2 linked regions of the Pelodiscus sinensis genome follow. The protein of the gene in region 1 purifies or fractionates together with the protein of each later gene. This does not show direct contact. Links are inferred from orthologs where the notes say so. Each region holds a gene or a part of one and is shown in the gene's direction. Other genes may lie near its edges.

What was found.
Region 2: the proteins of APLF (region 1) and LIG3 purify together in Homo sapiens (affinity purification with mass spectrometry; 3 studies listed by BioGRID and IntAct, counting the BioPlex papers as one, with this or other methods). This does not show direct contact. The link is inferred for Pelodiscus sinensis from reciprocal best matches to the Homo sapiens genes APLF and LIG3.

What each region holds. Positions count from the first base shown.
Region 1 is NC_134713.1:181,606,686-181,618,926, reverse strand, and holds the start of APLF (aprataxin and PNK-like factor), read left to right. Parts: upstream 1-7,665; 5' UTR 7,666-7,812; coding exon 7,813-7,905; intron 7,906-12,241. Other genes in the region: FBXO48 (F-box only protein 48), read right to left, coding at 5,679-5,984. UniProt on the Homo sapiens protein: Histone chaperone involved in single-strand and double-strand DNA break repair.
Region 2 is NC_134731.1:17,266,093-17,277,847, reverse strand, and holds the start of LIG3 (DNA ligase 3), read left to right. Parts: upstream 1-6,769; 5' UTR 6,770-7,091; coding exon 7,092-7,557; intron 7,558-9,786; coding exon 9,787-9,930; intron 9,931-11,755. UniProt on the Homo sapiens protein: Isoform 3 functions as a heterodimer with DNA-repair protein XRCC1 in the nucleus and can correct defective DNA strand-break repair and sister chromatid exchange following treatment with ionizing radiation and alkylating agents.

The sequences.
Region 1 (12,241 bases):
ATTAAATAGCATTGGAAAAACCTAAATAAACTAAGCAGAAGTCAGAGCAAACATTAGAAGTTGAGAGAACTGAAGTTTTACACCCAAAAAAGCATCTACAGGCAGTCCCCGGGTTACATGGATCCGACTTACATCGGATCCCTACTTACAAATGGGTTGAGGCAACCCCGCACTAGCTGCTTCCCCCCAGCAGACCAGGGAGACGCGAAGCTAGCGCCCCCTCCCCCAGCAGGCCAGGGAGACGCAGAGCGGCTTTTCACAGCAGACACCTCAGCTTGAGAATAAAGGACTGAGGGAAGTGAGGTGTGGGAGAATAAAACTGAGCTCTGGAGAAATGTTTGGCTAGAGTATCCCCTACAATATGTACCAGTTCCGACTTACATACAAATTCAACTTAAGAACAAACCTACAGTCCCTATCTTGTACGTAACCCGGGGACTGCCTGTATATTACAACACACTTGGGTGTCTGGGACCTCAGTGCAGTATACAGGTGTACAAATGCCCTCTAGTGGCCCAGAGCTTCATTTTCACATTTTTCAGTGTGGCCCAGAGCTTCGTTTTCACATTTTTCAGTGTAACATGAGGACTATTCTTACTTCTCAAATCTTCTGCCTCTCATCCCCACTCTCAGGCTAAATACCCACCTTAAAGGAAAACTTTTAAAATCTTGCTATTTTTTTCTTTATCCTGAGAGCACCAAAATAACTGTCAGGTACCCTTGTAACAGGGTGGCTGAGTTCCAGCTCATGTAGGGAGATACTAAGGTGTTGAGTTTTTGACACATGTAGCTTGTGACCTCAACCCTGGATAAACGGAAGTCTACACAGCAGTGTTATTTCGTTAATAACTAACATCAGTTATTCTGAAATAACATAGTCTGTGTCTACACAGCAAGCAGTTATTTCGACATAATGTTGGAATAATGTTGAGCTGGAGGACATCTTACTCCAACTCCTGTAACCTGCATTGTATGAGAAGTAAGGCAAATCAGAGGAAGAGTGCTCTTTCTACTTCCTGCTGTGTTTACAGCGCCAAAAGCCGAAATAAGCTATTTTGACTTAAGCCACGCAATTGACATAGCTCCAATAGTGTAGCTTATTTTGGGTTTAGACCTCTGTGTAGACATGCCCTAAGAGAGGAATCTGGGAAGACTTGGAAATAGCCATATAACTAGAGACTGCCTGGACTAGGATTTGTGATGTTTGCTTAATGAAGTCAGGTGTCACAAAGGTGTGAAATATTTGGATTTCAGTGTGTCCACTCTTCAGACCTCTCCATCTGCTCACATGCCTGCCTGCCTCCTTGTGAGTTCTTGCCTCATAGTGAACTTCTATAACACTCCTTCCTCTGAGAGGAAGTAAATCCGAAATGGCTTGCTTCTGTTTCAGTGATCTATGGAGGTAGACCTACGGCCCCAAATGAGGTGGCTGTAACCTCCTTACTTTCAAACCTGTGCTGGTTCAGGGTTGTACTTGCAATGTCTGAATCATTCTTTCTCTGATCTGCTAAGTATGAAGCTATAGCAGTCATAAGTACTTAAGAATGGTGTCACAGGGCGTCTGCCCTGTACTGGCCCATTAAGGACAAAAACCCAGCCCTTAGTGGGGGCTGAGAGCAAAGTCCAGGCTGAGGCAGTTATTGCTAATTAGGGCCCAGCTGGGGCTATATAAAGGGCTCCTTGAGGGACAGAGGACTTACTATAGCTCTGGCTGCAGAGCAGGAGGGACCTGGCTGCCTGGGAAGCAGAAGGCTTCTTGGAGATATCAGTGCTGGGAAAGGCAGGCAGAGCTGAGGAGCTCTGGCCTGACTTCACTCCCAGGCTGCAGGACCTGAGGCAAGGCCTGAGAGTATGAAAGCGGGGGGGGGGGGGGGGAAGGCAGCCAGGATAGGAAAAGGCAGCAGGTCCACACCCAATGATGAGTGGCCATTACAGACTGCAATTTGCTCCTGAAGCACGGGCTAGAGCAGGGATGTGCAATAACTTTTTGCCAAGGGCCACTTCAAACATTTCTGAAGTGGCCCCTGGCCTCAAGGGGGGGGGGGGGGGAAGGGGGCTGGGATACTTCCAGGTTCTCCACCCACAGACCAAGATTGGTCTGGGGAGGGGGGAGCACCTTTGCTTGCTTGCTTGCCTGCCTGCGTACCTGCCTCCCCCCTTTCCCCTGCACACCCATGCTCCTGGTTGGGAGGAGACTTCCCATGTTCCCCTACCCCCAGGCCAATCAGAACTGGGTGTGTGTGCCAAGTTTCTCTGCTCTGTTCCCACCCTGCACAGGGCTTAAAAGTGTCACATGCTCCTGGGAGGGCAGGAGGAGACTTCGTGTTCTCCCCCAGGCCCTGAAGCCTCCTCCCACCCTACCAGGAATGCATGGCACTTCTAAGTGCTGCGTGTTCCTCACAGGCTCTGATTAGCCTGGGGGCAGGGGAGCACACAAAGCCTCCTTCCATCCTGCCAGGAGCGTGTGGCATGTCAAAGTGCTGTATGCTCCTGGCAGCATGGAGGAAATTTTGCATGGTCCCCAGGCCCTAATTGGCTTGGGGGCGGGACAGTGGCAGGGCCTCCGGGGCCGGATCCAGCCTGCGGAGGCCCTTTGCTCGCCCCTGGGCTAGATGAAAAACAATCAGTTTCACATGTACAGAATGGGAAGTGACTGTCTAGGAAGGAGTACTGCAAAAAGGGATCTAGGGGTCATAGTGGACCATAAGTTAAACATGACAACAGTGTGACATGGTTGCAAAAAAAGCAAATATGATTCTGGGATGCCTTAACAGGAGTGTTGTGAACAAGACATGAGAAGTCATTCTTCCACTCTACTCTGCACTGATTAGGCCCCAACTGGATTACTGTGAATAGAACTGGTCACCAAGTTTCAGGAAAGATGTGGAGAAATTGGAGAAGGTTCAGAGAAGAGCAACAAAAATGATTAAAGGTCTAGAAAACGTGACCTATGAGGGAAGATTGAAAGACTTGGGCTTGTTTAGTTCAGAAATAAGATGGAGGGGGGACATGATAGCAGTTTAAGTATCTAAAAAAGTGTTACAAGGAAGAGGGAGAAATTATTCTCCTTGGCATCTGATGATGGGACAAGAAGCAATGGACTTAAATTGCAGCAAGGGAGGTTTAGGTTAAGGATGGTAAGTATCAGGTGACTAATTGAATAGACAATGCATTTTTGCATCAACTATTAAATTAGTTGATAGTGCACTTCCGCTTTTTAAGAGTAGCAACAACCCTAGGGCTGCTGTTACACTTCAAAGGCAAAAGCGGTATGTGGAGCCCTGGGTTTGCTGACCCCAGGATCCACACAGTGCTGCTGCTTTGAAATGCCATAAGAAACCTGGCACCAGGCTCTTCATAACATTTCAAAGCAGCAGCACCGTACAGAGCCCAGAGTCAGTAGGGGAGTCCCCAGCTGATTCAGGACTCCACGTGGCGCTGCTGCTTTGAAGAACCCCTTTTTCTTCCTCCCCCCTTGCTGCCACTATCAGATAAAGGGGGGGAGAGGGGAGAGAGCGACTAATCGACTATCCTGTTGACTATCCGATAATAGTTGACTAGTCCTTCACATCCTAGTTTAGGTTGGACATTAGGAAAAACATCCTGTCGGGTGGTTAAACACTGGAATAAATTGCCTAGGGAGCTTGTGGAATCTTCATCACTGGAGATATTTAAGAGCAGGTTGGATAGACATCTATCAGGGATGATCTAGACACTGCTTGGTCCTGCTGTGACCAAGGAGACTGGACTCGATGACCTCTTGAGGTACTTTCCAGTTCTAGGATTCTACGATTGAATTAATCTGCCATTTTGTTGTCCAGTCACACAATTTTGTGAGATCCCATTGTTGCTCTCTGCAGTCTGTTTTGGATGTATCTTGAGTAGTTTTGTATTGTCAGCAAATTTGGTCACCCTTTCTCCAGATCATTTATAAATACGTCAAACAGTATTGGACTCAGTTCAGATCCTTTGGGGATATCATTTTCTCTCTCTCCCAGAAGGGCATAAGGATCTTGTGCAAAAAGGTGTATTTGCGCAAAAAGGAAACGTCCACACTGGGGTTTTTTTTGTTTTGTTTTTTTTGCACAAAAACAGCTTGAATAGATTATGCAAATGAAGCACAACAAAAGGCTAATCTGTGCTTCATTTGCATACCCTCTGCCAGCAAAGCTGGCAATGGAGACAAAACCTAGGTTACATAATACAGTAATTCTGTTATTCCATAATTAAGTTCCTTCTGAACTGTTGGCTGAATATCATATGCTCCTGGTGACTTATCAGCTGTGAAGACCTATGCAAAGAATTCATTTAGCTTTTCTGCAATGGCCTTATCATTTTTGAACTCTCCTTTAGCATTTTGAATATCCAGTGGCTCCATTGGTTGTTTAGCAGGCTTCCTGCTTTTGATGTATTTAAATGTTTTTGCTGTTACTCAGAATCTTTGGATAGCTGTGTTTCAATCTTTCAGCTTTTCTATATTTCAGCCTTCCTATATTTAACAGCTCACTTGTGAGAATTTGCTACTGTTTTTCTTGATAGGATTTCACTCAACATATTTAGCAGCGTGGCTGGGGCCAGCCTGTTGCTGTGCTGCAGGGGTTGGCAGTCCAGTTAATCGGTTACTCAGTAAGCCTAATGCTTACCAGGTAACTGGTTAACCTTTTACATCCCTGGCATCCATTTTCCATGGATACAGATACAAACTTGCAGGGTTTTCTAAATACAAAATTTGAATCCACAACAGCATCTGCAAAAATGAGCTGTGGATATCCGCATCCAGATCCATGGTTGCTGATACCTGCATATATAAAGTAGATATTCTCAGATTTGCAAGGCTCTAACCAGGTGTGTAAAACTGCCCTCCTTTCTCAATATGTTCCATCCAAGAACTGGTTGATCTATTATCAGGGAACAGAGGATAATTAATTTTTCTTTATGGTACTGTTTTGCCATCTCTTCAGAGCTTCAGAGACTGCCATTTGTGATGGTTGTTGTGACACTGTCACTAAGGCCTGGTCAATATTACAAGGTTAGGTACTTAGGTTGATGCAAGATGACTTGCATTCACCTAATTATGTCAATGTCTACATTAGAATACTGCTTCTGCCAAAATAAGTCACTTTCTATGCCAACATAACTCTAACTCCACGAGGGGTATAGTTCTTTTGTTAATGCAGTTAAGACACTGATTAACTGACACAGCTGGTTGGCCATCAACCCCAGTGGGAGCTGTTAGTTGTAGTCCTCTTTTCTGGTGATGATAGCTACACTTGTCAGCTGTAGATGCTGGCTTGTAGCTGAGGCCATTGTACCCTGCTGACAGTGGGCCAGCAATGAGTGCCATGCCAGTGTTACCATAGGCTGGTGGGCTTCAGCTGTGTCCTATTATGTACCACTTCAGTTGGTGAAGCACTCCTGGTGGGGATATGCACCACCAACCAAAGGAGCAAGTGTGCATGTGAACCACTGGTGGCTTGTACACTGACTTAAGTCAACTTAATTTTGTAATGTAGACAAGCCCTGAGAGCTCACAAGCTTCAGGTATTAGATAACTTTAATTTTTCTCTTCACTGTGGATGGATCAGAAATACTGATAAGGAGAGAACCTTACATCTTAATACTGATTCCCAAAGCTATCCAGGTTCCCAAAGCTAGACAGTCCATGGCCTTTAATTTACCTTCCATGAATATCCATTTCCTCGATCAAAGTCTATCTCTCGCTGACAGACAGCTCTTACAGTTAAACAGTGATGTTTCCACAAATGGTCACTGTTCTCAATTGTGCGATTCCAGCTCTTGCAAGTCATTGCAGCTTTGCATAAGCTCTGAACGTCCAGTTCATTGAAAATTTTCAAGGTGACTTCTGGAGGCAGCAGCTCCACAAAGTCCTCCTGACTTTCTTCTTTCTTTTTGGATGATGGAAGGATGGTCCGTTCTTTACATGAAGTACCTTCCTGTTTGTTCTTCTTTGAGGTTTTCTGCATAATTTATGGTCTCCACACATCCACCATGAGTAATCCTAGGGGTGAAGAAGTGCAGGGGTCACTTATATTATACATGCAGTTAACTTTTATCAAGATAACTCTAATGCTTAAGGATATATGTTCAAGTGCTGCAAGCATAGGGTGACAATCTGTCCTGTTTTTACTGGGACAGTCCCTTATTTAAGGCCGCCTCCTTCAGTCCTGACTTTGTAGGAAAAAAAAAAAGTGGGCACATTATCCCAAATTTCCCTTGCAGGGGGTGGGAGAAGGAACTGACAGCACTCAGGGCCTGGTATCTTCCCCTTCCTTCCCCATTCTGCATGTTGTGGGGGTGAACTTCATCGCTGCAGTGGGGCAGGGTGGATGGGGAGCCACCAGCAGTCAGAGCTTTGGCTGCTGGAATCCTGAGCACTGGTGGCTTCTGTCCCACCCCTGCAACACTGACGCCTTGAGTGCCAGTGGCTTCCCCCAGCTATGGGGCTGAAGCCCCTAGCGCAAGTGGTTGCTCCTCCCTCCCCCGCCCACTACAAGGCTGAAGCTCTGCATGCTGGTGGTGGTCCTCCCCTCCCCCTCCTACAAGGTTGCAGTTCTGAGTGCCAGCAGCCCCCCTTCCCACTCCGCTGCAGGGCTGAAGCACTGAGTGTTGGTGGCTGCACCCACACAGTGAGGCTGAAACTCTGAGCACTGGCAGCCCCCTCCCCGGTGTCCCATATTCTACATAGGCAGGAGCGGCCTAGGCGAACCTTGCAAATCGGTGCCCCCACCTCCAAACCCCTCAACGATATTGTGTCACCATTTGGTACCCCATTTAACTTGGCGCCCTAGGCGATTTGCCTATATGGATAGGCCGCCCCTGCACATAGGGAAATGTGTGGAGCAAGTACAGAGTGCCTTGTGCACCCTACCTGGCCCTGTGTTGCTGCCCCTAGGTGCGACCCGAATGGGCTTGTTCACAGCCTATTGGGCAGTGGCTTGCTAAAGAAAATAGGCCCCACGCCTGTGGGCACTCTGGGACTTGTAGCTTCCATCTGGCGACACTGAAGCCAGCCGGGGGGGCATGGAGGAGAGCTGGAGACGACCACTGCTGGGATGCTGGGTGAGGTGGGGATTTGAACACTGGTGCCTATGGGCAGCTCCATGGCAATCACTCGAGCCGTGGGCGATGCCCTGTGCCCAGGCTAGGCTGCCCCCGCCCCCATGAGCTGGGCGAGGAGTAGACGCGGGTGGGGAATGGGGGAAGCCCCCCGCCCCCAGGGGCCGAGTGTGATGCGAGGGGCTCGTTTTATTGGCTGCTCACGTGTGGGTGGCCCTGGCGGCTTTTCTGTGGGCCGGTGGCTCCCGCCCGCGTTAGACGGTGCCCTGCGTCCGCTGCCAGCCTGGGCCCTGCTGCGGAACTCCCCAGCCCAGGGCGTGGCTGGAGCCAGCGCTCCCCGCAGCAGCCCCCGGCCCAGGCGCGTGGAGCAGTCCGCCCCCTACCTGGCCCCGCGCCGTTGCCCGCCGTTGCCGGTTTTAACGTCTCCCCCATTCGAACGGGCTTGTTTCCACCCTTCCCAAGGTAAACAGGACCCCGCGCATGCGCCGCAGCGGGGCACGCCGGGACTTGTAGTTTGCCTGCGGGGACGCTGAAGCGCGGCCGGGCGGCGCGGGGGAGAGTTGGGAACTACCGTTTCCGGGCGGGGCGGCGATCTGAACGCACAGGGCGGTAGCCAGACGCGCCCGCTAGCTGGCCGCCCCAGAGGGAAGCGGAAGGGCGAGAAGCCTCCCGACCTGGCTCAAGAAAAGTGCAAAGGGGCAGCGGGGGCCGCGCCCTGTCCCGCCCGCGGGGCCCATGCCGGGCTTCGAGCTCGCGCCCGCGGACGGGGGCTGCCCGCTGGCGCTGCCGCCCGGCCAGACCGTGCTGGGAAGAGGCCCCCTGTTGGGAGTAAGTCTGGCTCCTCGGGGGGGCTCCCTGTCCCCGCCCCCGCTCCCGCTGCAGCTCCCCTCTCCCCCCGTCTCCGGCCGGGGAGCCGCCTCGGGCTGGGCCAGGCGCTGTGATTCTCCCGTGAGGGAGCGATTATCCCCCTCACATTATCCCGGGGGGGCTTCTGGGGCCGGAAGGGACCATTGGGTCCTCGGACTTCACCCCCTGGCGGGGGAAGGCGGAATCACAGCCCCCCTCCTCTTTGCAAGCCTATCCCCGCTGTAACTGAGATTCCCTTTTAACGTGACTCCGGGAGCTGGGCGTTAAGAGACACTCGAAACATGAGGAGACTGATCCCTCGCACGGGTTGGCAGTGCTGTTTTGCATTGCCCCGTTCTGTAGCAACACCTTTGTCTGGATTCTGCTCCAAATGAGATGAAATGTGGGGTCTAACTACTCCTGGAGACATTCTGTGCCAAGAAATTAAATTCTGTGCGCGTGGGGGGGGCGGGGAACATTTCAGAGCAAAATATTTTAAAGTTCTATAAAATTTTGCAAATTGTATTTGTCAAAACACTACATAATCATGCCAGTTTTGATTATTTTTTGTATTTTTTTAATTTCAAAATACTTGTCACCAAGCATAGGAAAGTTGTGGTAACACCCAAGAGGTTCACTGCCCTGCTCCCCATACCTCTGCCAAAATTTTGATGGTTAAATGGGGTGCTTCCTTTCTGCACCCCTTCCCCTCTCAGGCATCAGATGCCTATGCCAGCAAATATGTCTGATTGTAACAATACATACACTATCTTTTCCTTCCCCCAGGTGTCAAGTATTCAATCATGAATTGTTTCATAGGGGTTTCTCTGCCCCCTTTCCCAGTTGTTTCCCAGACACCCACAGCCCCTTCCCAGATATTTACATCCTCCTCCCTGTTCCCCCGTAGTTCGAGGTCAGGGATCCAGAGGGAGAAACAGCCGGATGCCTCAGTCCAGGCTTGTATAGGGTTGCTTGCATGCCACTATCTCTTTCCCTCAGAATGTCCTGGATATTACAGGTGCCAGGAACTAGGGATATAAAGGGGTAACTGGCTGACTGGTGCTTGGCTAGAGCAGCCCCCCACCCCATCCACAGCACACCACGGGAAAGGGGTGCTTAAGCCTGGCAGTGGTGCAACATGGTGGACTGGATAACCAGTTAAACATATAGCTAAATGGATTAACATATTAAATGAGGTTTTATAGCCCTTCCAGGAATCCTCTAGGTGAGGGGTCTGCAAATATCAGTCTACCAGGTTTAGCTCCTGGTGGGCTCCCACCACTATATTTGCCTACATGGCTGCAGATACTGATGATTGCAGCTCTCACTGTTTGGCCAGGATCAGCCATCTGCAATGGGAGTAAAATCATAGGCTGGTGCCATCATCAACTGCCATGCTGTCAGGGCACTGACTACCTGTGGTAGTACCTGATGCTGCCCTGATATTTCATCCTTAATCCCAGCCTAATGCGGAGGGGAGGCCCTGCCCTAGAGGCAGTTAGTGAGCAACCCTGCCTCACATGCATGCTTCCGCAGTGGTTCTAGTTTCACTGGGCAAGGCCCTGCGTGTTGTTGACCTGGCATGCTGGATTCCTGGCTATCTAGCTGTTCTGATGTGTGGGTGAAATTGGGATGCCTCCTGCATGTCAGCTCACAACGCTTGAATGTGGAATCAGGCTCAGCCTGTTGGGGCAGGAGCTGCTTCTGCAAGTGAGAGCAGGATACACTCACTTTTCAAGCCCACCTGTGGCTTCTCAGTATTGGGCCTACAACCCATCATTGAGAAACAGTGCTTTAGAACACATGAGGGCATTCTCCAGAAAAATCACTATTTCTGAAGCATTGAGTGCACATTTAAAGTGAAACAATGTTCTCAATAGTATACTTCGAAGTATACCTGTAACCATGAGCTGGTAATAGTATTTTAGATGCGACTTAATTTGGCATTGTCCCTTCATAGGTATCTTTAAACAATCTTAATTTTGTAATTATTGAAGTAGGGATTTGTAATTTGGAGTAGGGATGTAAAATTCCAGTTAATCAGTTAACAAGTTAAATGTTAAGTTAGGTTGACCTAATGTTTAACTGGTTAATGACTAAGCATGATCTGAGCTGAGGACTGCTACAGCTTGGCTTGAGCAGCCCACATGGCTGCTGGTCCCTGCCCCTCCCTTCCGCGCCCCTCCCCCTGCTGGAAGTAGGGCTGGGCGCCTGAAGGGGTCCCTCCCTCGCGGGGGCTGGGACGAGAGCAGCCCCTGTCCACAGTGGTCACCTGCAGCAGGTGGGAAGCTACTGCAGCCCCCACCGGTTACTAGTAAGTGGAATCGGTAAGCATTACCCATTTAAGCTGATGCTTACTGGTTAACCTTTCACACATTTAGTTTAGAAGTATGGCTGCAGTGGTGCAACTGTACTGCTTTAACACTGTAGTATAGATGTTTCCTTCATCTGTGGAGGGGTGTTTCTATCATTGCAGGTATTCCATCTCACTGGGTGGCAGTAGCTAGGTCAGTAGAAGAATTCTTAAGTTGGAGTTCTTAGTGTTGCCTGAAATATGGAGTTGAAGGAGTGAATTTTACACCCCTGAGTGAGGTAGTTATGTCAGTCTAAATGTAAAGTGTAGACCAGGGCTTCTACTCAGCTTCACTTATCCATATTAGCACTTAGTGCTTAATCACAATGGTATCTTTCTTTAGTTAGCAAATAGTGTTGAATTCACCAAAAGCTTTTATACGTATTTTGTTAACTGGTTTTAGATTTGGAAGAGAGTTCAAGGGTCCTTCAGTTAAATCCACTTGTTTGTGCAGGTTATAAATAGGGGCACAATTTGATCAGCTGCTTTCTATGTCTAATTTACACTTCTGTAGTGCTAGTGTATGAGAACAGTGAAATTGACTAGAAAAAGTTGTGAAACTGATCAGTGTGGATTCCTTATACTTGATGTAGAATGAAAAAAAGGAAAATGTGTGAACAGTGGAAAGTAAATACTATTTCACTGTTCTGTACATTTTAATACACTAAATTACTTAATGTTCCCTCTCTGAGAGGGGTGCACGTCGCCATAATTCCAATTCAGAGGGCTAAACACTATGGCTACGTCTACACTGCAGGCTTTTTGCGGAAGAACAGCTCTTCTTGCGCAGAAACTTGCTGGGTGTCTACACTGCATGCGTGTTCTTGCGCAAGTAAATTTACAGTACAGCGTCAGAAAATAGGGCTTCTTCCGGAAGAGTTATTCCTCTCTCCACGAGGAATAAGTCCTCTTGCACAAGAGCTCTTCCACAAGAAGGCAGTGTAGACAGGCAACATGATTTTCTTGCGCAAGAAACCCCTATGGCTAAAATGGCCATCAGAGCTTTCTTGCACAAGAGAGCATCCATACTGCCATGGACGCTCTTGCGCAAGAGATGTGCATTTGTGCAAGAGCATCCATGGCAGTGTGGATGCACGCTTGTGGACCTTTTGCACAAGAACTCTTGCGCAAAACAGTTCTTGCGCAAGATGCCTGCAGTGTAGATGTAGCCTATATTATTTTTCTGGATGGATATATTCCATTTATTCTGTTTAAATAATCCATCTGCTATTTGTGGTGGTAGGAAAGGTATAGTTAGATGAGGGAGCCAGTACTTTTAAAAGAAATTATTCTGGTTGCATTGAAATTGGGCCTTTCACTTTTAGACTTCCTTAATTGCTTAGAGTTTTTTCACTGAACCATCATTTTGTATTTGTCTCTTTGACTGTGCTTCACATTTTTCCCTTTTGACCAGTCTTCCTCTGAAGAGAACAGGTATACTTTAGCATAGTGTCTTATTCATAGTCAGCATAATTAGCATGTCTCAGAGGTGCAGCCTTTTAACTCTGTATCCGCAAAAAGGAATCCTGTGGCATAATAAAGACGAAGGCTACGTCTACACTGACAGCTTCTTCCACAAGAAAGCTCTGACGGCAATTTTAACCATAGGGGCTTCTTCCGCAATAAATTCATGTTGCGTGTCTACACTGGCCTTTTCTGGAAGAGCTCTTGTGCAAGAGGGCTTCTTCCTGAGAGAGAGTGTCAGAGTTCTTGTGCAAGAAGCCCTGATTTTCTACAGTACAACGTCAGTTTACTTGCGCAAGAACGCACAGTCAGTGTAGACAGATGGCATGTTTTCGTGCAAGAACACGCCAGCACTTACACAGCCTAACAGATTTATTTGGGCGTAAGCTTTTGTGGGTAAAAAAACCACTCTGTCGACTCTATGCATTTAGTCAGAGACCAATAGGAAAGATGAGAAATGATGGGGGAGTTTGAGAAGTTCAACAGCAACATTTTGAAAAT
Region 2 (11,755 bases), on another chromosome or scaffold:
CCCTCCCGGCCCCGGACCCCTTAAAGGGGCACGGGCTGGCTACAGTGCCCGTGCCAGGTGCAAGCCTGCCAGCACCCAGCCAGCAGACCCTGCACCTGGCACGGCTTGAGCCAGCCACCCGATGCCCCCCAGCCGTCCCCCTCTTCCTGGGACCAGGCTGGCGGCTCCCAGGAGCTTGCCCAGGATCGCAAGAGGCGGGCACCCGCCTGGTCCAGTGCAGACATCGTGGACCTCGTCCACGACCTCCACACTAGGCACAGGAAAGCAGCCGTCTAGGGCAGGAGAGCTGCCAGCCTGGCCACCCAGGAGCAGGTTTGCATGAAAATCAAGGTAGTCCACTGTGACCCCCGACCCTGAGCCCTGAGCTTAGAATGGCCGTACTGGGTCAGACCAAAGGTCCATCTAGCCCAGTAGCCTGTCTGCCGACAGCGGCCAACCCTAGGAACCCTGGAGGGGATGGACCAAAGACAGTGACCAAGCCATTTGTCTCGTGCCATCCCTCTCCAGCCTTCCACAAACTTCGGGCAGGGACACCACTCCTACCCCCTGGCTAATACCACTCCATGGACCCAACCTCCATGAATTGATCTCACTTCTCTTTAAACTCTGTTCTAGTTCTAGCCTTCACAGCCTCCTGCAGCAAGGAGTTCCACAGGTTGACTATTTGCTTTGTGAAGAACAACTTTCTGTTACTAGTTTGAAGCCTGCTACCCATTCCTTTCCTTTGGTGTCCTCTAGTCCTTCTTTATGGGAACTAATGAAGAACTTTTCTGTATGCACCCTCTCCACCCCACTCATGCTTTTATAGACCTCTATCATATCCCCCCTCCATCTCCTCTTTTCTAAGCTGAAAAGTCCCAGTCTCTTTAGCCTCTCTTCATATGGGACCTGTTCCAAACCTCTGATCATTTTAGTTGCCCTCCCCTCTCCCACCCTTTCTCTTCCCCTCTCCCACCTCCTTTCCCCAGTCTCCCCCAGTTTTGTTCAATAAAGAGAGATTCTATTTTTGAACACAATTGTCCTTTATTTTGTACATCAGGAAGGGCGGCTAGGGAGGGCTAAGTGGAAGGAGGTGAGGGAGGAATGGGGTACGAGCCCCCGATGGGGAGGACTGGGCTGGCTCTGTAGGCTTCTGGGGGTGGAACCTCTCCTGCAGCCCCCCAATTGCCCCCTCTCCCCAGATGGCAGCCTGCGGCAAGTGCAGCCGGTCTGATGGCCGAGTGCTGTGATGTGCCCAGTGTGGGTACTCCGGGCAATCCAAGCCAGGACTGCTTTGCAAGCGGGGCACCCCTTGAGAACTGTCTGTCCGGGGTGGGGGTCGGGTCCCTTTAAGCACAGCCCTCGGCTAGCCTGAGACAGCAGCTCCACGTTCTAAGTCCTCATCTGATGCCCTGCCAGCACTGCTTCCGGACATCCTTAACCTCAGTTCAGGGTCCACTCTGTGTGGACATGCTAGTTCGAATTAGCAAAATGCTAATTCGAACTAGTTTTTTAGTCTGGATGCGTTAGTTCAAATTAGCTTAGTTCGAACTAAGTTAGTTCGAATTAGTGCTGTAGTGTAGACATACCCAAAAAGATTTTAAGGTAGGAGACCGGATCGGCTTACCTGGGAAATCCTTGGTGAACTTAAGCACAAAAAGGAAGCTTACAAAAAGTGGAAACTTGGACAAATGACCAGGGAGGAGTTTAAATGTATAGCTCGAGAATGCCGGGGGGTTATCAGGAAGGCGAAAGCACAAATGGAATTGCAACTGGCTAAGGATGTGAAGGATAACAAGAAAGGTTTCTACAGGCATGTTAACAAGAAGAAGGTGATCAGAGAGGGTTTGCAGCCCCTAATGGATGAAGGAGGTAACCTAGTGATAGATAATGTGGGGAAAGCTGAAGTACTCAATGCTTTCTTTGCCTCTGTATTCACGGACAAGGTCTGCTCCCAGACTAATGCGCTAAGTGACGCAAGATGGGATGAAGATGGACAGCCTTTGGTGGGTAAAGAACAGGTTAGGAACTATTTAGAAAAGCTAAACGTACACAAATCCATGGGTCCGGACTTAATGCATCCGAGGGTACTAAGGGAGTTGGCAAATGTCATTGAGGAGCCTTTGGCCATTATCTTTGAAAAGTTGTGGAGATTGGGAGAAATCCCGGACGATTGAAAAAAAGGCAAATGTAGTGCCCATCTTCAAAAAAGGGAAGAAGGACGATTCAGGGAACTATAGGCCAGTCAGTCTTACCTCGGTTCCTGGAAAAATCATGGAAGGGATCCTTAAGGAATCCATTTTGAGGCACTTGGAAGAGAGGAAAGTGATCAGGAATAGTCAGCATGGATTCACAAAGGGAAAGTCGTGTCTGACCAATCTGATTAGCTTCTATGATGAGGTAACTGGCTCTGTGGCCGTGGGAAAGTCAGTGGATGTTATATACCTTGACTTTAGCAAGGCTTTTGATACGGTCTCCCACAATATTCTTCCCAGCAAGTTAAGGGAATGTGGATTGGATAAATGGACAGTAAGATGGCTAGAAGAAAGATGGCTAGAAGGCCGGGCCCAGCAGGTAGTGATCAATGGCTCGATGTCAGGATGGCGGTCGGTTTCTAGCGGAGTGCCCCAAGGTTCAGTTCTAGGACCGGTTTTGTTCAATATCTTTATTAATTACCTGGATGAGGGGATGGATTGCACCCTCAGCAAGTTTGAGGATGACACTAAGCTACGGGGAGAAGTAGATACGTTTGAGAGCAGAAATAGGGTCCAGAGTGACTTAGACAAATTGGAGGTTTGGGCCACAAGAAATCTGATGAGGTTCAACAAGGACAAATGCAGAGTCCTGCACTTGGGATGGAAGAATCCCAAGCATAGTTACAAGCTGGGGACCAACCAGTTAAGTAGTAGTTCTGCAGAAGAGGACTTTGGGGTTACAGTGGATGAGATGCTGGATATGAGTCAACAGTGTGCCCTTGTAGCCAAGTTCTGGCCCCCCACTACAAAAAGGATGTGGACGCATTGGAGAAGGTCCAGCGGAGGGCAACCAAAATGATTAGAGGGCTGGAGCATATGACTTATGAGGAGAGGCTGAGGGAGTTGGGTCTGTTTAGTCTACAGAAGCGAAGAGTGAGGGGGGATTTGATAGCAGCCTTCAACTTCCTGAAGGGAGGTTTCAAAGAGGCTGGAGAAAGGCTGTTCACAGTAGTGACAGATGGCAGAACAAGGAGCAATGGTCTCAAGTTGTGGTGGGAAAGGTCCAGGTTGGATATTAGGAAAAACTATTTCACTAGGAAGGTAGTAAAGCACTGGAATGGGTTACCTAGGGAAGTAGTGGAGTCTCCATCCCTAGAGGTGTTTAAGTCTCAGCTTGACAAAGCCCTGGCAGGGTTAATTTAGTTGGGATTGGTCCTGCCTAGAGCAGGGGGCTGGACTCGATGGCCTCCTGAGGTCTCTTCCAGCTCTATGGCTCTATGATTCTATGATAAGGTCATGGTTGATAATCAGCTGAACATGAGCTCCCAGTTTGATGCTGTAGCCAAAAGAGCTAATGAGATTCTGGGATGCATACATAGGGGCATCTCAAGAAAGAAGGGAGAGGTTATTTCAACCTCTGTATTTGGCACTGGTGCTGCAAAACCATGCCCGGTGCCGGTGCCCACAATTCAAGATGAAAGTTGATAAATTGGAGAGGGCTGGGTTTAGAGAAAAGCCACAAGAGCGATTAAAGGTTTAGAAAATCTGCTTTATGCTGATAGACTCAAAGAGCTGAATCTGTTTAGCTTAACAAAGAAACGGCTGAAGTGTGACTTGATCACAGTCTGTAAGTACCTATGTGGGGAATATAGATTTGATAATGGGGCTTTTCAGTCTAGTAGAGAAAGGTCTAATATGAACCAGTGGCTGGAGGCTGAAGGTAGACAAAATCAGATATGAAATAAGGCATTTTTTTCCCAGTAAGAATAATTAGCTGTTAGAACAATTTACCAAGTATCATGGTAGAGTCTCATTACTGACCCTTTTTTTAAATCAGGATTCTATAGGATTTGCTCTGGGAATTATTTTGGGGCAAGTCTTTGGCCTGTACTAGGAGACCAGACTCAATGATCACAATGGACTGCTCTGGGCTGGAATCTATGTGTAGTCACCTTACTAAAGGTGCTTCTGCTTATTTTCTGGGAAGACCCTGTGTGTGGCAATCTAACCTCACAGACTACAATTCCCATGAGCCCTGGGGAAAAACAGGAAGGAAGGACTCTTGATGGGGAGAGCTGAGTCTCTCCATGTGTGTGGAGAAAGACTCAGCAGTCTGTGGACTCCCTGGCTGTGTCTACATTAGCATCCCTTTTCCGGAAAAGGGTGCCAATGAGACAAGTCGGAATTGCAAATGCCGCAGGGGATTTAAATATCCCCTGCAGCATTTGCATGAACATGGCTGCCGCTTTTTTCCGGCTCGGGGCTTTGCCAGAGAAAAGCGCCAGTCTAGACGGGATCTTTCGGAAAATAAAGCGTTTTCTGGAAGATCCCTTATTCCTCTTAAAATCAGGAATAAGGGATCTTCCAGAAAAGGCTTTATTTTCCGAAAGATCTCGTCTAGACTGGCGCTTTTTTCTGGCAAAGCCCCGAGCCAGAAAAAAGCGGCAGCCATGTTCATGCAAATGCCGCGGGGGATATTTAAATCCCCCGCGGCATTTGCAATGCCGACTTGTCTCATTGGCACCCTTTTCCGGAAAAGGGATGCTAATGTAGGCACAGCCCCTCTGTTTTTGGACCAGAAAGGGAGCCAGGGAGTTTGATACAGTTCAGGAGCTGTTATGTTGCAGTTACAGACTGGGACAGCAAGCCTTTGGAACTGGGATCTAGCAGGCTGCTTTTGATTGCCCAAGAGAGGAGGTCCTTTGGCTGTACTTGTGTCTAGCAGCTACTCTGCATCCAGCACATAAAAGGAGACTGTGAGTAACTGGGCATCTTTGGGAAAATGCTGCCTGGGACAGACCTCAGAGATTCAGACTAACTCTGGGTTCAAAGAGAAGGAGAGAGGCCAACCCAGTGAACCAGAGCTGCGGCATAGTTTGGACCCACATACACACTACCTACAGAGAATCTCCATTATAGCTGCAGTTCTTCAAGCGCGCCCATGCAAGCAAGAATTTGGGACTCTGAGTCCAGGGGTGTGCACACTGGGGTGGGATAAATATTGGTAGCTAGATAAGTTCATTTTACTTTTGTGTACTTTGTTAATTAATGTTATTCACTGTTAATTTGTTAAATCCTGTTTCTTTAAGTTAAGTAAAGGTTGTTCATTCTAATGCAATCTATTAGATGTATATTATTTATGATTTGTAATTGTTGTTCGGGAGTTAGATCCAGTTTATTGCTGGAATAAGTTTATTCCTAGAGGCTTCCAAGGCACACCCGTGTGTACAGGGCCAGCCAGGTGGAGGCACCACCATTGTACATTCTTTATGAGCAAGGGACAGCAGCAAGGGGGTGGAGAGGTTTTCCCCAACCAAACAACATCACCACTGGGGTACTCAGGATCTCCTTTTATGTCAAGCCCATCAGGCCCTGTGCTGTGACCTGCTCCCAAGTATCCCAGGGAGGAAAAAGGGGTTACATATGAATGAGGGACTAGGGCTTCTGGTGAAGAGGGGGAGGTTTCATGCTATAAGGAAGATGGGGTCTGTGCTGAGGGGCCAGGTGTATGATGCTGAGGGGGGGTCTCTATGGGGGCAGGGTCTGTGCTGAGGGGGGGGTCTCTATGGGGGCAGGGTCTGTGGTGAGGGGCCAGGTGTATGATGCTGAGGGGGGGTCTCTATGGGGGCAGGGTCTGTGGTGAGGGGCCAGGTGTATGATGCTGAGGGGGGGGTCTCTATGGGGGCAGGGTCTGTGGTGAGGGGCCAGGTGTATGATGCTGAGGGGGGGTCTCTATGGGGGCAGGGTCTGGGGGCAGGGTCTGTGGTGAGGGAGGGGTTTGCTGTGAGGGGCAGGGTCTGTGGTGAGGGAGGGGTTTGCTGTGAGGGGCAGGGACTGTGCTGAGGGGAGGGGTTTGCTGTGAGGGGCAGGGTCTGTGCTGAGGGGAGGGGTTTGCTGTGAGGGGCAGGGACTGTGCTGAGGGGAGGGGTTTGCTGTGAGGGGCAGGGTCTGTGCTGAGGGGAGGGGTTTGCTGTGAGGGGCAGGGACTGTGCTGAGGGGAGGGGTTTGCTGTGAGGGGCAGGGTCTGTGCTGAGGGGAGGGGTTTGCTGTGAGGGGCAGTGTCTGTGCTGAGGGGAGGGGTTTGCTGTGAGGGGCAGGGTCTGTGCTGAGGGGAGGGGTTTGCTGTGAGGGGCAGGGTCTGTGCTGAGGGGAGGGGTTTGCTGTGAGGGGCAGGGACTGTGCTGAGGGGAGGGGTTTGCTGTGAGGGGCAGGGTCTGTGCTGAGGGAGGGGTTTGCTGTGAGGGGCAGGGTCTGTGCTGAGGGGAGGGGTTTGCTGTGAGGGGCAGGGTCTGTGCTGAGGGGATGAGGTTACTTTCAAGGGAGGGGTTGTGAAGAGATGGGGGGTTGCCTGGAGGAGGCAGGGTCACTAGAGATGGGCGTGGTTGTTGTCAGGGTGACTAGGTGAGGGGCAGGGCTTGTTGGGAGGGGGTGGGCGTTGTTGTTAGGGGCGGGGCTTGTGGTGAGGGGAACGAGGTTAGCCTGGGTCTGTGGTGACAGGCGGGGCTCGTGAGGGGCGGGGTTTTCTCAGCGGGGTCTCTGGGAAGGCAGTTGCTGAGGGGCGGGGTCTCTGTTCCGTGCGAGGCGCGGCCCACCACGCTACGGGGCCCGAGGGGCGGGGCCCTGCTACCGGCCCAGCCGCCGTGGCTCACGAGCCCGTGCGCATGCGCCATATCCTAGGCCCCGCCCCGGCCGCGAGTCCCGGATTTAAAGGGGACGCGGCGCACGCGGCTTTGGCCTAGGCCGGTCGCTCTCCGAGCCCGCAGCGAGGACTCCCTTCCTTGCCCAGCCCTGCCCCCTCCCGCTGGCACAGCCGCGAGGCTCTGAGGGGCGCCCCCGGCCCGCCCCGCCCCTCCCCCGCGGTGTAACGCGGCTCTGAGGGCTCCGCGCTGGGCCTTGTCCCCGAGGGCCGCGCGCCGCATGCCCGCTGCCCTCCAGCGCCTCCTCCCGCCGGCCGCCCGGGCGCTGAGCCGACGGGCCGGGCTCTGCCTGCGCGCGGGCAGCGCGCTCCTGGGTCAGCCCCTTCCCGCCAGCCGCCACCGGGCTCTTCCCTCAGCCGCGCCCCTCTGGCCCCGCCGGCTCTGCGCGGCCCCCGCGGTCATGGCGGAGCAGAGGTTCTGCGTGGACTACGCCAAGCGCGGCACCGCCGGCTGCAGGAAGTGCAAGGAGAAGCTCCTGAAGGGCATGGTGCGCATCGGCAAGGTGGTGCCCAACCCCTTCTCGGAGTCGGGGGGCGACATGAAGGAGTGGTACCACGTCAAGTGCGTCTTCGAGAAACTAGAGCGGGCTCGGGCCACGACGAAGAAGATTGAGGACATCACGGACTTGGAGGGCTGGGAAATGCTCCAAGATGAAGAGAAACAGATGATAAGCCAGCACATCGCAGGTGAGACACTAGAGGGAGACCCACTGTGCCTTGCACCTTTATCAGCTGTAACAGTAGGAAATGTGGCGTCAGTGATTTCTACTCCATAGAGGCATTGCACACAGGGCATTGCAGTGGTTTGTGATGAGTGCAGTTGTCTTTTTCTCTGCATCCCAAAAACTGCTATGAGTCTTTCCCAGGCTATGTCTAGACTGCCAGCCTCTTTCGAAAGAGGCTTTTTCGGAAGTATCTTTCTAAAAAAACCTCTTTCGAAAAAGAGCGTCTAGACTGCAGCCAGTCCTTTCGAAAAAGCAAGCTGCTTTTTCGAAAGAAAGCACCCAGGCAGTCTGGATGCTCTCTTTCAAAAACGCCCTGTTTGCATTCAAGAACGCCTTTTTTCGAAAGAGCTCTTTCGAAAAAAGGCATTCTTCTTCGTGAAATTAGGTTTACCGCCGTCTAAAGAAAAGCCGCGTTCTTTCGATTTAATTTCGAAAGAACGCAGCTGTAGTCTGGACACAGCCCCAGTGAGTTGAGAGAACTTGTCTGTCCTTGAATGCAATGGGAAGGAACTGTAAGAAGGCATTGCAGGACTATCGGCATGCACATGATTTATTATTGTCGCTTCATGGAACAGCAAAGAATAGAGAGTCCCTGCCTGAAGTAGCTTAGCCTGCATCCTTACTGAAAACTAGGTGGAGGAATAGCTCAGTGGTTTGAGTATTGTGAGTTCACTACTTGAGGGGGCCATTTAGGGATCTGGGATAAATCTGTCAGGGATGGTACTTGGTCCTGCTGCGAAAGCAGGGGATTGGACTTGATGACCTCTCAGGTGTGTATCAGAGAACCCCTGACAAAAAATTATTGCCCACCCTTGGGCTAGATCCTGGGTGCTACTTTCACTCCCACTGGTAAAATATTTAAAATCTCCATACATTTTAAATATTTTACCAGCGGGAGTGAAAGTAGCACCCAGGATCTAGCCCAAGGGTGGGCAATAATTTTTTGTCAGGGGTTCTCTGATACACACCTGAGAGGTCATCATCAGAGAACCCCTGACAAAAAATTATTGCCCACCCTTGGGCTAGATCCTGGGTGCTACTTTCACTCCCGCTGGTAAAATATTTAAAATGTATGGAGATTTTAAATATTTTACCAGCGGGAGTGAAAGTAGCACCCAGGATCTAGCCCAAGGGTGGGCAATAATTTTTTTGTCAGGAGCCACTTCAGAAATGTCACACAGGAAGGGATGGGGCCAAGATACTTCCAAGTTCCCTGCCCCCAGACAATGATTGGTCTGGGGGTGAGGAACTGCCTTTGCTACCCCACATTGCCCCTAGGTAGCTCATGCCCCTGGCATGGGAGGAGACTTCCCACGTTCCCCTGCCCCTAGGCCTAATAGAGCCTGGGGGTGGGAGAGTACATGAAGCCTCCTCCGCTCTGCCCCCATCTTGCTTCAAAGCACCATTTGCTCCTGGCATGACAGGAGGAGGCTTTGCATGCTCCCCAGGCCCTCATTGGCCTGGGGACAGGAGAGCAGCAGGGCCTCCATCGGCCAGATCTGGCCTAAGGAGGCCCTTTTGCCCACCCCTGGTCTAGCCTATCCCCTCAGCTGGGCTAACTAAACCCAGGCTTAAAATAAGATCATGAGAGTGTTTTATGTGCAGATGGGAGGGGGCTAGAGGCAACATCTAAACCAATGCCTGAGTGAACTCTGCAATTAAGACATGCTCTCAGAATGCAAGCACTGGAAGGCTGGAGGGAGGAAGCCCTACTCTCTAATGAAACTTAAATACCAACAACGGTTCTGTGGCACCTTGGAGACTAACAAATATATAAATAGTATCGTGAACTTTCATGGGCACGACCCACTTCTTCAGGTGACATATCATGGAGCAAAGGGCATAGATTTTGAAATATAAAGCCGAAAAAGAGGGAAGAAATGGAGGTGAGAGGAAAAAACCCTATCAATTAGTGTCAAGGCTAATGGAGTAGGCTGTAAGTGCAAGTCACTAGGAGCCCTGGTCAGCTCTATTTTGCTGTTTGAGCTGGGGCTCATTACTGAGCTCCTAGTAGACATTTTACAAATAAAACTACCTATCCCCTCTCTCCGTGTGTTGGCTATTTGTAAGTTCTGACAAAAGTTGCTTATTTCAAAGTATTGTAAGTTACTTACCTGATTTTGTTGTTGAGGGTTTACAGGTTGTCTTAGATCACTTATGCAGATGCTTTACCTCTTACTGTGTTCCACAGAGGCTACTTCCAAGGCTGCAAACACACCTAAGAAAAAAGCAACAGTCCAAGCCAAGCTCTCCCCCAGTGGGCAGATAACCACTCCCAAGAAGGAGCTACCAGCTGCCCCCAATCCATCACCAAAGAAATTCTCTGGCTTCACAGGTGAGATATATTACACTGATGCTAGGGGAGCCCCCGTTCTTATAATAGCATCAGTGGAGTTTGAGTCAAACCTCAGGGTTGTGTCTAGACTGGCATGATTTTGCGCAAAAACTTTTAATGGAAAAGTTTTTCCATTAAAAGTATTTGCGCAAGAGAGCGTCTATTCTGGCATGTGCCTTTGTGCAAAAGATTTGCTTTTGCACAAAAGCATCCGTGCTAGTGTAGATGCTCTCTTGCGCAAAAAAGTTCCAATGGCCATTTTAGCCATCGGGCTTTCTTGCGCAAGAAATTAACGTTGCTGTCTACACTGGCCCTCTTGCGCAAGAATACTTGCACAAGAGGGCTTATCCCTGAGCAGGAGCATCAGAGTATTTGCACAAGAATCACTGATTTTGTACATTACAAAGTCAGTGTTCTTGCGCAAATACTCGCGGCCAGTGCAGACAGGCGGCAAGATTTTTGCGCAACAGCAGTCGCTTTTGCGCAAAATCATACCAGTCTAGACGCAGCCCAGTGGTTTATATTAAGTGAATAAGAAATGATTGTGCTAACAAAACGTGATATTTTGTTTTACTATCTGTAGAAAAAATGTTCAGTGTTTTCTAAGCTGTCAGTCATAAAATAACTGATATTTGCATTCTTTTGGTGATGTGTACAAAAGGGATAAAGCCTACCAAATCTTCTGCCCAGAAAAAATAAGGGGACTGCAGAATTGTATTTGAGTCTAGATCAGTGGTTTTCAGTCTTTTTGCATTTGCAAAAATACCTACCTCCCACCCTTTGAAAATCTTACACATAGTCTGTGGATTCCCAGGGACCTGTGGGCCACATATTGAAAACCACTGGTCTAGACTGAATGTTGACTTCAGTTATCTGGAATCAGCAAGGACCTGCTCATTTCTACATCAGTGGAAAAGCTCTGATTGACCTGATGGGGAGCAGAATCTGGACTCAGTAATATGCATAAACAATGACAATACTTTGAAACCTGTAACTGAAGTGGAAAGCTTTTTTTTTAGTGACTTACCTTGGCTACATGGCTGGTTCTTTGAAAGACCTTTGAGATTTGGAAAACTGCACCTTTTTCTACATAAAGAGAGGCTGAAATAAACCAAGTAACACATCTGGAATTTTTTTGTAATATTTTGTGGCACTTGTTAAAGTAAAATAATGTTTCCTGAAAACTGCAGAAATGCACTATTGTAACTGGACAGCTAAATCTTTTTTAGATATGTGAAATAATACAAGATTGTGGGCACAGCCCTTCTGTGCCTTGGTACCACTGGGGAAAAAAACTTCATTTCTAAATGGAAATTCAGTAAATGTTTTACTATATCAGACAAACTCTGATTTTTGTAGGTTACTTCATTGTGCTCAGAATTGTGTGGCAGAAACTAGAGATGGAAAGACTATTACTTCACCCAGTCACTGTAGGATTCTGTCCTATGCTATTTTCTAATTTAGTCCTAAGCAATTGAGCTTCCATCTTTCTCTTAGGTGAGGGAAGGGAAACCATAAAGTTGGCAAGTAGAGAAATAAATTTCTCATGGTTTTCAGAATAGAACTGTCTGAAGCTGTGCAGGTATCTCAGTCCCTCCCAAGTGGGATCCTATTAACTGAAAGCTTCTGCAATGAGTTGAGCATTTCCAGCTTAGTTCCTGAATCTTGTGCAGGAAAGAAGCGTGGATGTGATGGGTTTAGTTCATTGTTAATAGTTACATTAGTGCTAAAAGTATTGATCCTCTTGTCACTACAACATCAAGATAAACAGGCTCACTGGTTACACAGAGTAATTACATTATTACCTAGTTTATCTGTTTGCAGT